Saccharomyces cerevisiae S288C: one gene and its partners. Changing the gene in region 1 together with any one later gene gives a genetic interaction. Each region holds a gene or a part of one and is shown on either strand. Other genes may lie near its edges.

Region 1 (5,093 bases):
GGAGTGAAAGCAACGAAAGATGGGGTGACTCTGTTACCTTGTTCGTTGGCAATAATTTCAACGGAGGATTCGTAAGTAGCAACACAAGAGTAGGTTGTACCTAAATCGATACCGATAGCACCTTGGAAAACACCTTCAGCCATTTTGTTCAATTAAAATACTGTAATGATCTTGGGACATCTGAAAATCCAAAAGCAAGAAACATTTTTTAAAGAAGGAAAAGCAAAGCGACAATAACTAATTAATCTTTATATAAAAAGAGATGAGTACTACAAAAGAAACGTCGAGCGAAGATGAAAAATTTTTCTTTTTTTTTTTTTCAGTTGCGTGCTATAAAAAAAAAAAAAAAAAGATTCATCCATACTTCCCGTTCGAAATGATCATAAATAACTGCGGTGTATGGGCTATGTTCCCATGACAACGAAGCTAGAATATAATTATAAGGATGAATAAGTATTGTTATTGAAAAAATGCACAATTAGGAACTTTTATATAGCTGTCTATTGGTTCACGGAAAGACTGTTAAGATACTTGGCAGCATGGTAGATAAATAGGAACTGATCCTTTGTCTGAACCATTTTCATTCTTTGCGAGCGCAACTGTAACACGATCTGTTCGATCAAGTCCCGTGTGTACTCCTCTGTAGCCCTGTCTGAATGCCTTGACCGTTCTGTAATATTTTTAAAATCCAAGGTATCATGCATGAGATGATCTAGGGCAATGAACGTCCCCGTTCTGCCCACGCCTGCGGAACAGTGTACGATAATGGGGTTCCCGCGGGAATTCAAGCTGTGGGAGTGAGCGCATAATTCCATTATGGGTACTACTTCCTCTGGCTTGTTCATATCTTTCCAAAGGTCGAAGTAAAAGTGGTGAACAGTTTTGACAGGTCCTACAAGAGGGTCCGTGGGTGTGAGTTTGATATCGGTGACCGTATAATAGTCCTTCACCTTATGTACGTTAACAAACTCTATTTTCAAATCAGAGGGAAATTGAGTCATATCATTGGCGCCGCCCGGACTTTCCCATTTTGATGCTATTCTAACCGTATCGTCTACACCACCGCGAGGCCAGTACTGGTAGCACTTCTCCCTATTGTATTCTACCAGAGGCGTGACCATCACAATGACAATATTGTCTAAAGGACAATTGTGATAGCACATTTGCCAAAACTGATCCCAAGTTTTACGCGTGGGACCTTGAGTAGCAATATAGTAGCCCGGTTCGATGCTCTGCCCTGGCACGTTCACTTTGACATACGAGGCATTAATGTAATCATTCCCGGATAGAGTCTTCAAATGAACGCGGTTCCTCTCATACGGCATAATGTTAACGTATCTGTTTCTAGCATCGTTACGAGGTTCTATGCTGACCCCCAACGACCATCGTGAATTCACCGTTCCGTTTGTAGCTTCCCTTAATCTGCCGTCTTCTTGATTCTGTATGAACTTGAATTTACCCAATAAATCCGTGTCACGCTGTCTAATATACCATGGTGCAGCTGCCATCTCCACTGTCGCAAACTACTACTAACAAACGCTTTTCTTGATAACTCCTCGATGAACCCTTTTCCTCAATAAAATGTAAATATAGTTTGCCTTCCTCTTAATAGTGTGTACAAATGAATTTTTCTAATACTAAACGCCCTAAAAATGACCTAATTAAATATTACGTTAACCTAAAAAAGTACAAAGAAAAAAATGGAACACCTACAAATTATAAACAATAACCCTGTCGCCCAAAGTTAGGTTTCCGATAAGACTTTTCAGTGAACAAAATCTGGAAATGAAAGGCGATATAACATTATCAAAGATGATTATGTATAGATTGCGTGAAATACGCGCAGGAAAACGAGTTTAAGCGTCACTAACACTTTAATCAATTTAAAGTTCATTTTTAACTTGCTTTGTGCTCCACTAAGGAAAGCATGTACAGTATAGTGCTGGAATTGTAACAGGTCCTCATGAAAAGATATGAGCGAGATCGAAGTCCCACTCCTGATCCTGATATTGTGAAAGGTTCATACTCTCAAACATCACTCAGGTCACTACATGAACTTAACTATAAGAATCCTGCCGGTATAAGCGGGCTTAGCTTTGCAGGAAGCCCACAACAATCCGTGGCATCCTTATCGCAAATGCGGCTGGAAAATTTGGTTAAGGACAAACACTGGGAGGAAGTAGAGGACTTTGGGCTGGAAGAGCTGAGAGATGGGTTTTTTGATGCTGCTTTTACCAAGCCGGACAGCAAAGCTAGGTCTCCTAACAGCGACATCGATGACGACAATGGCGCTGCAAGGAAAAAACTGCAATCTGGTTTTACCAAGCTTTCCGAATATGTTTGGACTGCTATCTACAGGCCCATTATTCATTTCCCTAGAGATATTAGAAAAAATGGGGTATCCATATTCAAGTTTTTTATTGCTTATTTCATTGCTATCGTGATTTGCGTTATCAGGCCTTCTGGTAGGTGGATTGGCCATGAGTTCAGGTATTTTCTACCCATCGCAGTACTTATACATCATCCGGTCAGAAATATTGGTGTTCAACTGGAAATGACTATAAGCTCCATTATCGGCGCAAGTTTTGGCCTGGGATGGTCGGCTTTGGCATGGTACATTTCCACAGCGACAAAGCCGACCGCAAACTACCAGGGAGGAATTTTATTTCAGAGTCTGACTATGGCCCTCTTATTTGCCATCTGGCTAAGGTCTGTTTACCGTCGGTTCTTCTATTTCACAACTTCGTTTTCGATATCGATTATATTCACTCATACAGTTCGGTTGGCCTCATCCAAGTTTGATTTGAAGTGGCAAATTTTTTGGGATTTTGGAATCTCATATCTCTTCGGCCTTTTGCTATCTCTCTTGGTTTGTGTATGTGTATCACCACATAGTGGCAATGCAGAGTTAATGGAACATTATAACAAGTGTCTACAGACCACAAAGACCTTTTTAATGGCACTAGTAGATACTGAATTAATAAAGTCCAAAGAACAAATTTACCTAGCCCAAGTAAAAATGGTGAAAACACTAAACATTGATTTATCTCAAGGTTTTAGAGATTTTGTAAATCAGTTGACAATTTCCAGGTTTGACCTTCAATCGTTGAAGAGTTTAAGAAATTCTTTAACTGCCATGGAAACTTCTCTGAGAGTATTACCCATTGCACCCAAAATTTTTAATGATGATGAATTGAAAAAGATGTATGAAGAATTGGAGAAGTATAGATCGGATTCTGCGACCCTGAGCAAAGAAGCAAGCGCTAGCCCTCAATCTTCAGGAATTCCAACAAGAGAAAACACGCCCAGTGCCTTTAAGCCTATCGGTCCGGGGCTTTTAAAAAATGAAATCTACATTAATGCATTAAAGGCGTCCTTCTCGAAAAGCATCTTCAACTTAATACTGGAAATGATCTTCGTTTTGGAAAATCTATCAAGAGTACTAAAGAAATACGAGTCTCCAAATCAAAAAAACAACTTAGATGAGTGTGTCAAAATATTAAGTCACTCGCATTCTAAATTAAAGAGGAAAATTTACAAACTAGATGTTTGTTACAGGGATTTTGTGAATTCTAGTTTTTTTTCACAGGAACTGTTGAATGACGAAGAGTCTGTCGATATTTTCCTTTTTCTAAGATATTTGAGAAACTCCGCAAGGCAGCTAGTTACTGTTATCCACGATTGCCAAGTTTTGGGTGAGAATATTCACTGGAGAATTGCTCTGCCATCATATCCACTGTCTCGTGCGTTGACAAGATTGCCCAAACAATGTGTTCTCGATGAAGGTGCAGGAAATGTTCTTCATTATTTTGAGGCCAAACGTGATGTCGATGAAATTTTTGAAAGAGTTTATAACACCTACACGTCAAGACACAAGTATAACAAAGGCGAAGAAGAAGCGCTGAGACTTGATTCACAAGGTGGTGACGAAAAGTCACAGAATCGCAAAAACCACACTATTTCCATCAGAGCAATTGATCACAACGACTTCAATTTTCATACAACTCAAAATCCTTGGAGATTTAAACTATGGAAATTGAGTAGAATTTTATCTGGTGATGAATGTAAGTGGACACTAAAGATTACTTTTTGTATGATATTTTTGTGTCTACCAACTTGGCTACCTGAATCCTATCACTGGTACCAAGAATTTCATTGTTGGTGGGCCCCACTCACGTTTTACTTATTAGCACATAGAAGATACTCTGGTAACTGGGCGTTGGTAATGAGGAGATTAATCTGTGGTATAGTAGGTATCTTTTGGGGGTGGGCTGCCAACCAATCGAGACATTTTGGTAGTCCATACGTGGTTTGCACGTTTGCTGGTCTGATCGTGGTCCCATTTAGCATCAACTTTCTTGTCTATAGAAACACCAAATCGAGCTTCACTGCATTAATGTGCTTTACCATAATTGCTCTTGAACCATACAGCAAACCTAATAGACATTATAACTTAACCACCGCTGGAATATGGAAATCTACGTGGGTTACAGGCTTGGCACTTATTATCGGTATTTTGGTTTCGATTCCCATCAACTGGATAGTGTGGCCCTTTAGAGCTAGGACAGAACTAAGAGATAGTATGTCATCATTACTGGCACACTTGGGCCAGTCCTACCAAACCGTGGCGGACCGGTATTTATACAGGGATGCCGACGACGCACCTACTGATTTAACTTTCGCATTTTCCCACATTCGTGAAGTTAGACTGACTCAAAGTCTTGAAGCAATCAGGGAACTTTTGAAGAAAGCCCGTCATGAGCCAATCATTATTTCCAACTTCAATCCTGAGAAGTACGCAAGTCTAATCAATTCATGCCAATTTTTGTTATCTAAGATCATTGAAGCGAGAATTTCAGGTGCATTTTTTGAAATTTGGGATCAGGATTTTGATATTGAAACCACGAGAGCCTTACTATCGCTACGAAGAGATAGTGTCTCATCAGTGATTTTCGTTTTTTACATTTTATCCAATTGTTTCAGATCAAAAAACAAGATACCGCGATACTTGCCAAATCCAATTATGTCACGTAAAAAACTTTACCACTTCATCAAGAAATTTAGTGAAATGAAGGACCAATCACATTCGAATT
Region 2 (4,280 bases), on another chromosome or scaffold:
TCCATCTTGACGTACGAAACCTTTTTCCGCGTTTTAACTAAACTCTGTTCATGGGGTACCTGCGGAAGGAAACCAGGTACGGCTATTACAGATATAGTAAACGTTGTCGAATCGTTTGAAGGGGCTGAGCCATATACAATAACCATTAAAGAGAGAGAAAATATTGGATTAATGGCTAGGCGTGTAATCGACGAGGGCAGGTTGGTATATGTGAAAGAAAAGTTTACAGAGTTTAATGCGGAGCTGATAAGGTACGTAGAATCCGATGTTTCTTTAGAGAACGTTGCTATGTTAGTTTATAAGAAATAGAGAGCTTTTAATTTTTATTTTTTTTCACTTGTATTTTTGACGGGCTATTAATTTTAAATGAAACTTTTCTACATGATGGAACATAAACATAAATATAGGTATAGATAAATTGTTCTTCTTTTTTTTTTTTTTTCTTTAAGAGAAAGAGTAAGTAAATATATCTTAAAATTACAAAGGGCTTATGCATCATTTCAGTTAAAATTATTGAAGTACCGCTCCCTGAAATTATCTTTTGAACGTTTTATGCCATGATTACTTGATCCATTGAAAGTGCTACCCCTATTAATATAAACCAGTAGTCTCCTTGACCATTTATTGAATTCTTGAACGCAGTTGTATTTTAGCTCTAGATTTTCGTGCATTGGGACAATAGTTTCAATATTGGCGTCGTTTGCAGTGGGCATCCAGAAGGCTAATCTTCCGCCAATCGGTAATCTTTCGGAAGAGTATTGTAAAAGATCATCCAGTAATGAATCTAGAGCATACGGTTTTTTGGTTGGAATATAATCGCGACGCAAATATGCCTTTTCACCGTCAATTTCCATATCTTCCTTGCCTAGAAATCTTTCTGGATCCTTAGCACCTAGGACTTTTATGCTTTCTCTGATACCATATGGAGGATCACACAAAATAGTATCAATGACAAGATTGTTTCTTAATGCGTTATTTGTAAAGTCCATGGTCAACACGTCGAGGAATTGAGAACTCTCGCCATATTTTTTGAAGTTGGCCGAAATGTTCACTTGAGCACCCTTACCACGAATCATTCTGCCATCTATATCCGAACCAATCACTAAAGAACCAAAATGCCCACCAGCTACCAAAAAGGATCCTGTACCTGCAAACGGGTCGTACATTATAGTTCCCGGTTTCACTTGAGCTATATTGGCGCTGACCAACGATAATTCTGCTTCGAAGCTAGTTGTACCTTTATAAGGTCTTTTCTTCAAATCATATTTCTCCATGGCACTCCTATTGCTCATCTGAACCTGCCTACCAAAATAAATCCTGGTGGGGGTCTTACCACCAACGTTTTCCGATATTGGTGTGTACTCTTCTATAACAGTGAAAACCTCTTGAGGATGTTTCATATCAATCTTTCCTTCAAAGCCAAGGTAACGGAAAGTTTCAATCTGCTCTACCCTCTTAGCTTTACTGTTGCCTTTATAGCATTCGAATTCGAACTTAAAAGTGGAATGTTTGAATTTCAATTGCAGATCCTGTTCAAAGTTAGACTGACGCTGAATATCTTTATGCAGCTCATCGAGCGTTGTACCCTGCCCCCAATACTCATAAATACCTCTGGTTAAAATAGACCTCTTAATCCAATCCTTTGCTTGCTGATCATTTTCCAGCTCTACAATAAAGAAAGGGCTATTGGCATCGTACTGCGAAAAGTCTATGGAAAGATTATATAGGTCTGCTAACGATTCCAGTTCTGCTCTTCTAAAGTTCAAATGAACTTGTACCATATACAGCAGATATTTCTTCATGCTGCCGTTTTTACCTTATATACAATGTGTTTAGTTATGCTATTTCATCTCCATATTACGGGTATTAAGACCTCGATGCCCATAATCATCGATTTTTTTCACTTTTCCCACAACGTAAACATTTCTTTTTTCTTCGGAAAAGAATCCAAAATACGGGTAATAAAAGTCTCTTAAAGTACTAATAGCTATAGATAACATTATGGAGGCTATTGATATACAAAATACTAAGAAATATAGGTTGCTGCAAGGAAGAAGATCAAAAACCCTCTAAATTTCGCTTTATCTATCCATCAAAAGTCCGGAGGGTCATGCTATCGAAAACCTATTGACTATAAATATCAATTTTTTTATCTCTTCGATTTGTTCTTGAAGATCTTGCGCAGAAGTTGAAAAACAAAGAGTAAATCCTAATGTAGATGCGTGGAAAAAGAAACATGCTCTTAAGGATCCCAACTTCTTTCTCTTCTAAACATCTATAACCTTGGAAGATCTTGCGAAATACTGGGCGGCTAAATCGAATGCATTTTTAATCTTACCCGGAAATACTTTCTTTTTTTTATTTATTTTTTTTCTTGCAGCCCCTCCCTACGAGCAGCGCCGAGATTTCTTGTTGGACAAAGCAAAAAAAGTATAAAAGGCGCATGCTTTCCACACGCCCAGGCGCTCTTAAATTTTCTTCCGCTCTCTCCTTTCCGCCACTGTAATTAAAAACAAAGGATTGAACAGTTTCGACTAGTTATTTAATTTTGCAGATAGTCAAGTATTAGTACAATATACTGTTATAAATTTTTTACGTGTATCTTTTACTTTTTAGTGTTTAATAACTAAAATCTCATACCTTACTAGATTTCTTTCTAACCTTTTTTGCGAAAGAAACAAAAAGAAAAAATACGGACAGAAAAGGTATACTCAATAAACAAGAAATTGAAAAAGCGTGCATAATACAAACAATTGGCCCTTTTTTATTCTGTATTAATATTACTGTTTATATTACAATCTTTTCATAAAAGACGCAAATATTTTATTTATAAAGAACTTTAGCAGTATACACAAGTCTGAGAAAATAGAGAATAAGTTAAATAAGCAATGAGCTCTGACGAAGAAGATTTCAACGACATCTACGGCGATGATAAGCCTACCACTACTGAAGAAGTCAAAAAAGAAGAAGAACAAAATAAGGCTGGCAGTGGTACCTCGCAATTAGATCAACTAGCCGCACTACAAGCATTATCTTCTAGCTTGAACAAACTAAATAATCCAAATAGTAACAACAGTAGTAGTAATAATAGTAACCAAGACACATCTTCTAGTAAGCAAGATGGCACTGCGAATGACAAGGAAGGTTCCAATGAAGACACTAAGAATGAAAAAAAACAAGAAAGCGCTACATCAGCAAATGCCAATGCCAACGCTAGTTCTGCAGGACCTTCTGGCTTACCTTGGGAACAACTTCAACAAACCATGTCACAATTCCAGCAACCATCTTCTCAATCACCACCTCAACAGCAAGTAACTCAAACCAAAGAGGAACGTTCGAAAGCGGATTTGTCTAAAGAAAGTTGCAAGATGTTCATTGGTGGTCTGAATTGGGACACTACGGAAGATAATCTTCGCGAATATTTTGGTAAGTATGGTACCGTCACTGATTTGAAAATCATGAAAGACCCTGCAACAGGTAGATCTAGAGGGTTCGGTTTCTTATCTTTTGAAAAACCTTCTAGTGTTGATGAAGTGGTAAAGACACAACATATCCTCGATGGTAAAGTTATCGACCCAAAAAGAGCTATCCCAAGAGACGAGCAAGATAAAACCGGTAAAATCTTTGTTGGTGGTATTGGTCCTGATGTGAGACCAAAGGAATTTGAAGAATTTTTTTCTCAGTGGGGTACGATTATCGATGCGCAACTGATGTTAGATAAGGATACCGGTCAATCAAGAGGTTTTGGTTTTGTGACGTATGACTCCGCTGACGCCGTTGACAGAGTTTGTCAGAATAAATTCATCGATTTCAAAGATCGCAAGATCGAAATCAAGAGAGCTGAGCCAAGACATATGCAACAAAAATCATCAAACAATGGTGGTAACAATGGTGGAAACAACATGAATCGTCGTGGCGGTAACTTCGGTAACCAAGGCGATTTCAACCAAATGTATCAAAACCCTATGATGGGCGGTTACAACCCAATGATGAATCCGCAAGCAATGACAGATTACTATCAAAAGATGCAAGAATATTACCAACAAATGCAAAAGCAAACTGGTATGGATTATACTCAAATGTACCAACAACAAATGCAGCAAATGGCAATGATGATGCCAGGGTTTGCCATGCCACCTAATGCAATGACTTTAAACCAACCACAGCAAGATTCAAATGCCACTCAAGGTTCCCCAGCACCTTCTGATTCCGATAATAATAAATCCAATGACGTCCAAACTATTGGTAATACATCAAACACTGACTCTGGTTCACCGCCA
Region 3 (3,637 bases), on another chromosome or scaffold:
CGATTCTTCGAAAGAGATGAAAGGACGATAAAACATTTTTGATAAAAGATAATGTGTAGATAACATTGGATACACTAGCTTCTCCTCATCGATTTTAGTTTTTTGGCCCAAGCATACTTAATTGACTTTGTGATTCCAGCTGTGAAAACACCTTTAATAGTTTGTAATGCACTTGATTTACTAATACGGCTGAGCAAAAGTCTCTGAGTATTCTTTAATGTGAACCCTTTTGGAAGATAAAATGAATCATTTAGGACCACTTCTTTGTAAATCGGCTTGTAATACTCTTGAAATCTTTCAAAGTTTTTGGTAACAATGTTGTTAACTTTGTCGGGATTTTCTCCACCCAGTTTGTATCTAATATCACCTGCATAACTTAAGGCAGTGATCTCCTTGTAAAATTGGAATTCGTCAAACTTATTGTTATTTTTCTCTAAGGTGTAATGTTTGGCCAAAGTAGCTGCAGCTTTTAAGTTTAATTGGTTCCAATATTGCACTCTCAAATCATTCTTCAATATTTTTACAGGCTTTTGTAGTCGTCCTGCTAAATAGAATGTATTCCAAGTAGCTATGTCCTTTAAAAGTGTTTCCATAGAAACCACCCCATATTTTACGTCGTGTCCATTTATATTTGCAAATGGATTAAAATATACGCCTGCGCCGATCTGTTGAAATTTAGACACGAACTCGGAACCGAAGTATTTCAAACTTGAATAATGTTGCGGATTCTGCCTCATATTAATAGAGTGAAAATGTGATGGATATGTGACGCCCAAGATTATATCGATTTGAGGTTTGCTATGACTTTTGGAATATCCCGCTTGTTCGAAAACTCCTGAGCCGTAACCAAATACAAACCGGCACGGAGCTTTGAAGGATGACATTACCCCATCCAGTTCCTTTTGAAGTTCCTTATCGATAGTAATGAGCTGGTTACTTCCATAGTTGGGGGGCAATCTGTGAAACTTGTACATATAATTTGTAAAATTGGAAGTCATTTCGTCAGTTTTTCTTATACCTTTTTCCAAGAGGTCCAGATCACTGCCTTTAGTAATTCCCTCGATGTAGTGATTCGGCCTTTCGTTAATAGTTCCATCGGGGATAATGCCAGCATCATCTATGGAACTTCTCCCCTCCTTTATTTGAGTACTCAGAAGCCTATTAAACATGCTTACGTTCGTTGAATGGCATTTCAGCAGAAACCGTAGACCATTTTCAGAAACTCGTAACATAACTTCAGGATATATCAAAGTAAAAAGCAGCTCCTATTAATTCAAATTATTAGCTCAATCCTATAGCAACGTTTCTCAAGTTTAATTGTTTTGAAGGTTTTAGAACCTTTTTCACATTATTTAGTCCGTCGAAACATCTACTCTTTACTATTTATGGCTAAACAGGCTGAAGGGTATGATTTCTTTTCTTTTCTTTATTCATGTCGGGTAAGAGAAGGTCACTTGACCTATGATGTGGGGGCAAATAATAACGTGGGAATAACAAGCGCGCTACTGGTAAGTGAAAAACTAAGATAACAGTTGAATTTCGTGTTTAGATGCTATAGAGAGTCTGGTACAGCATTGGCGATTTAAGACTTCTCTAGTCCACATTTCTTAAATTCAAAATCACAAGCGCCTGTTAACGATCATTTTATAATCTACGATGTGTAAATGCAAAAAGTGCTTTCCTCCCTCTTTAGTTTGGACAGGGATAGTGGGTAAACGAGTAGCATTATGAGTGCATACATTGCCAGAAAGAAACCGCAAAGCGGCATATCTTTTTTCTTCTTTCTGTTGTAAGGGATGCTTCGTCACGTAAAATGGCCGCCGGAGTGAGATGTCACAGATTACATCAAAAGGTCGGCGTATACTGGATAAGAAAATCCGAACTTTTCCGGTGGGCTTTACCAGCAGAAAAGTGGCCGGGCATGTATTAAATATATCACCGTATTTTCTGCTGGCTTTTTCTTATGCAGAGAACAAAGGCCAGAGTGCCTTCGAGGAAATTAAAGGGAGCAATGTGATAGATATGTCCTGTGTCATTTGCTTCAATTTTTCCTGCCATTTATTTGTAGTTATATTTATATCTAGATCAACCGAAACTATACCAACGACGAAGCTGCTTCTTAGTAAATATATTTTCTACTGTGTCAACGCATTGGAACTGACATTGTTCTTATCCTATAAGTCATACAGTTGAATTTGTTAATTCTTTACTAGAAGTTGGGATTTTCAGCACTTATGTCACCGTGTTATGGACAAAACAGTGCCATCGCCAAGGGGTCTTGGAACAGAGAGGTTTTACAAGAGGTGCAACCGATTTATCATTGGCACGATTTCGGGCAAAACATGAAAGAATATTCGGCATCACCCTTAGAGGGGGATTCCAGCCTGCCTTCCAGCCTGCCTTCCAGCACTGAGGACTGTTTACTACTATCATTAGAAAACACAATCACAGTTATAGCCGGAAATCAGAGACAGGCTTATGACTCTACGTCGTCTACTGAGGAAGGTACAGCACCTCAATTACGGCCGGATGAAATAGCGGACAGTACACACTGTATCACGTCATTAGTTGATCCGGAGTTCAGAGATCTTATTAATTATGGACGTCAAAAAGGAGCAAATCCTGTATTTATTGAGAGCAATACAACAGAACAATCCCATTCACAGTGTATTCTAGGCTATCCCCAAAAATCGCACGTGGCACAGCTATATCACGACCCCAAAGTACTCAGCACAATTTCCGAAGGGCAAACAAAAAGAGGAAGTTACCACTGTTCTCATTGTTCTGAAAAGTTCGCAACGTTAGTTGAGTTTGCCGCGCACTTAGACGAATTCAACCTTGAAAGACCGTGTAAGTGTCCCATAGAGCAATGTCCCTGGAAAATATTGGGTTTCCAACAAGCAACTGGTCTGAGAAGACATTGTGCTTCCCAACATATAGGAGAGCTTGATATAGAGATGGAGAAATCATTAAATCTAAAAGTAGAAAAATATCCAGGACTGAATTGCCCATTTCCTATCTGTCAGAAAACGTTTAGGCGCAAAGACGCCTATAAGAGACATGTGGCCATGGTGCATAACAACGCTGATTCAAGATTTAACAAGCGTTTGAAGAAAATTTTGAACAATACCAAATAGTTGAGGCATTAAAAATGTACCCCATGAAACTCTTGTTAAATTTGTGCAGGCATGAAAGCTACTGTATTTTTTCTTAAAGTAATAAAAATAAAACACAATGATATTAAAGAAAACGCATGCAACTATGGACACTTGCTATGTCGTGAATATGGCACCACGTTGGTTACTTAGCTAAATAAAAAATCGTAAGTACTCGCATTTTTTCTTCTATATTCACTTTGCTTCTTTGGACAGTTATTTCAATAATAAATATTTCTTTTTTTCTAATCTCCCTTATCACCTAAGAGGAAAAAGTTTGAAAATAAACTTATGGCTAGAGGTTATTTGGTATTCCGAGAAAACATTTGAAACTAGGAAGTTTACATATCAGTGCAATTATGTTTCCTTCGATGATTCACGTACCCTCAAAGTCAGTACCATAAAATTGAAAATAAGACAGGTGTTTTTTTTTTTTTTTTTAATCATACAAGAATTCAACCACTTAAGTAGGATATTAGCGC

What was found. Genes that interact genetically often act in the same process or in processes that back each other up.
Region 2: mutations in PTP1 (region 1) and TRM11 together harm fitness more than expected from each alone (negative genetic interaction), as found in Saccharomyces cerevisiae (2 studies listed by BioGRID).
Region 3: mutations in PTP1 (region 1) and RME1 together harm fitness more than expected from each alone (negative genetic interaction), as found in Saccharomyces cerevisiae (2 studies listed by BioGRID).

What each region holds. Positions count from the first base shown.
Region 1 is NC_001136.10:39,115-44,207, reverse strand, and holds PTP1 (tyrosine protein phosphatase PTP1), read right to left. Parts: upstream 1,509-5,093; coding exon 501-1,508; downstream 1-500. Other genes in the region: Hsp70 family ATPase SSB1, read right to left, coding at 1-143; BRE4 (Bre4p), read left to right, coding at 1,964-5,093. UniProt on the Saccharomyces cerevisiae protein: Is not required for vegetative growth.
Region 2 is NC_001147.6:84,956-89,235, forward strand, and holds TRM11 (tRNA (guanine-N2-)-methyltransferase), read right to left. Parts: upstream 1,803-4,280; coding exon 501-1,802; downstream 1-500. Other genes in the region: TRM13 (tRNA:m4X modification enzyme), read left to right, coding at 1-309; HRP1 (Hrp1p), read left to right, coding at 2,889-4,280. UniProt on the Saccharomyces cerevisiae protein: Catalytic subunit of an S-adenosyl-L-methionine-dependent tRNA methyltransferase complex that mediates the methylation of the guanosine nucleotide at position 10 (m2G10) in tRNAs.
Region 3 is NC_001139.9:582,490-586,126, reverse strand, and holds RME1 (Rme1p), read left to right. Parts: upstream 1-2,234; coding exon 2,235-3,137; downstream 3,138-3,637. Other genes in the region: TAM41 (putative phosphatidate cytidylyltransferase), read right to left, coding at 75-1,232; YGR045C (uncharacterized protein), read left to right, coding at 1,831-2,193. UniProt on the Saccharomyces cerevisiae protein: Involved in the control of meiosis. Represses the transcription of the IME1 gene thereby inhibiting cells from entering meiosis. But also activates the CLN2 gene thus promoting mitosis.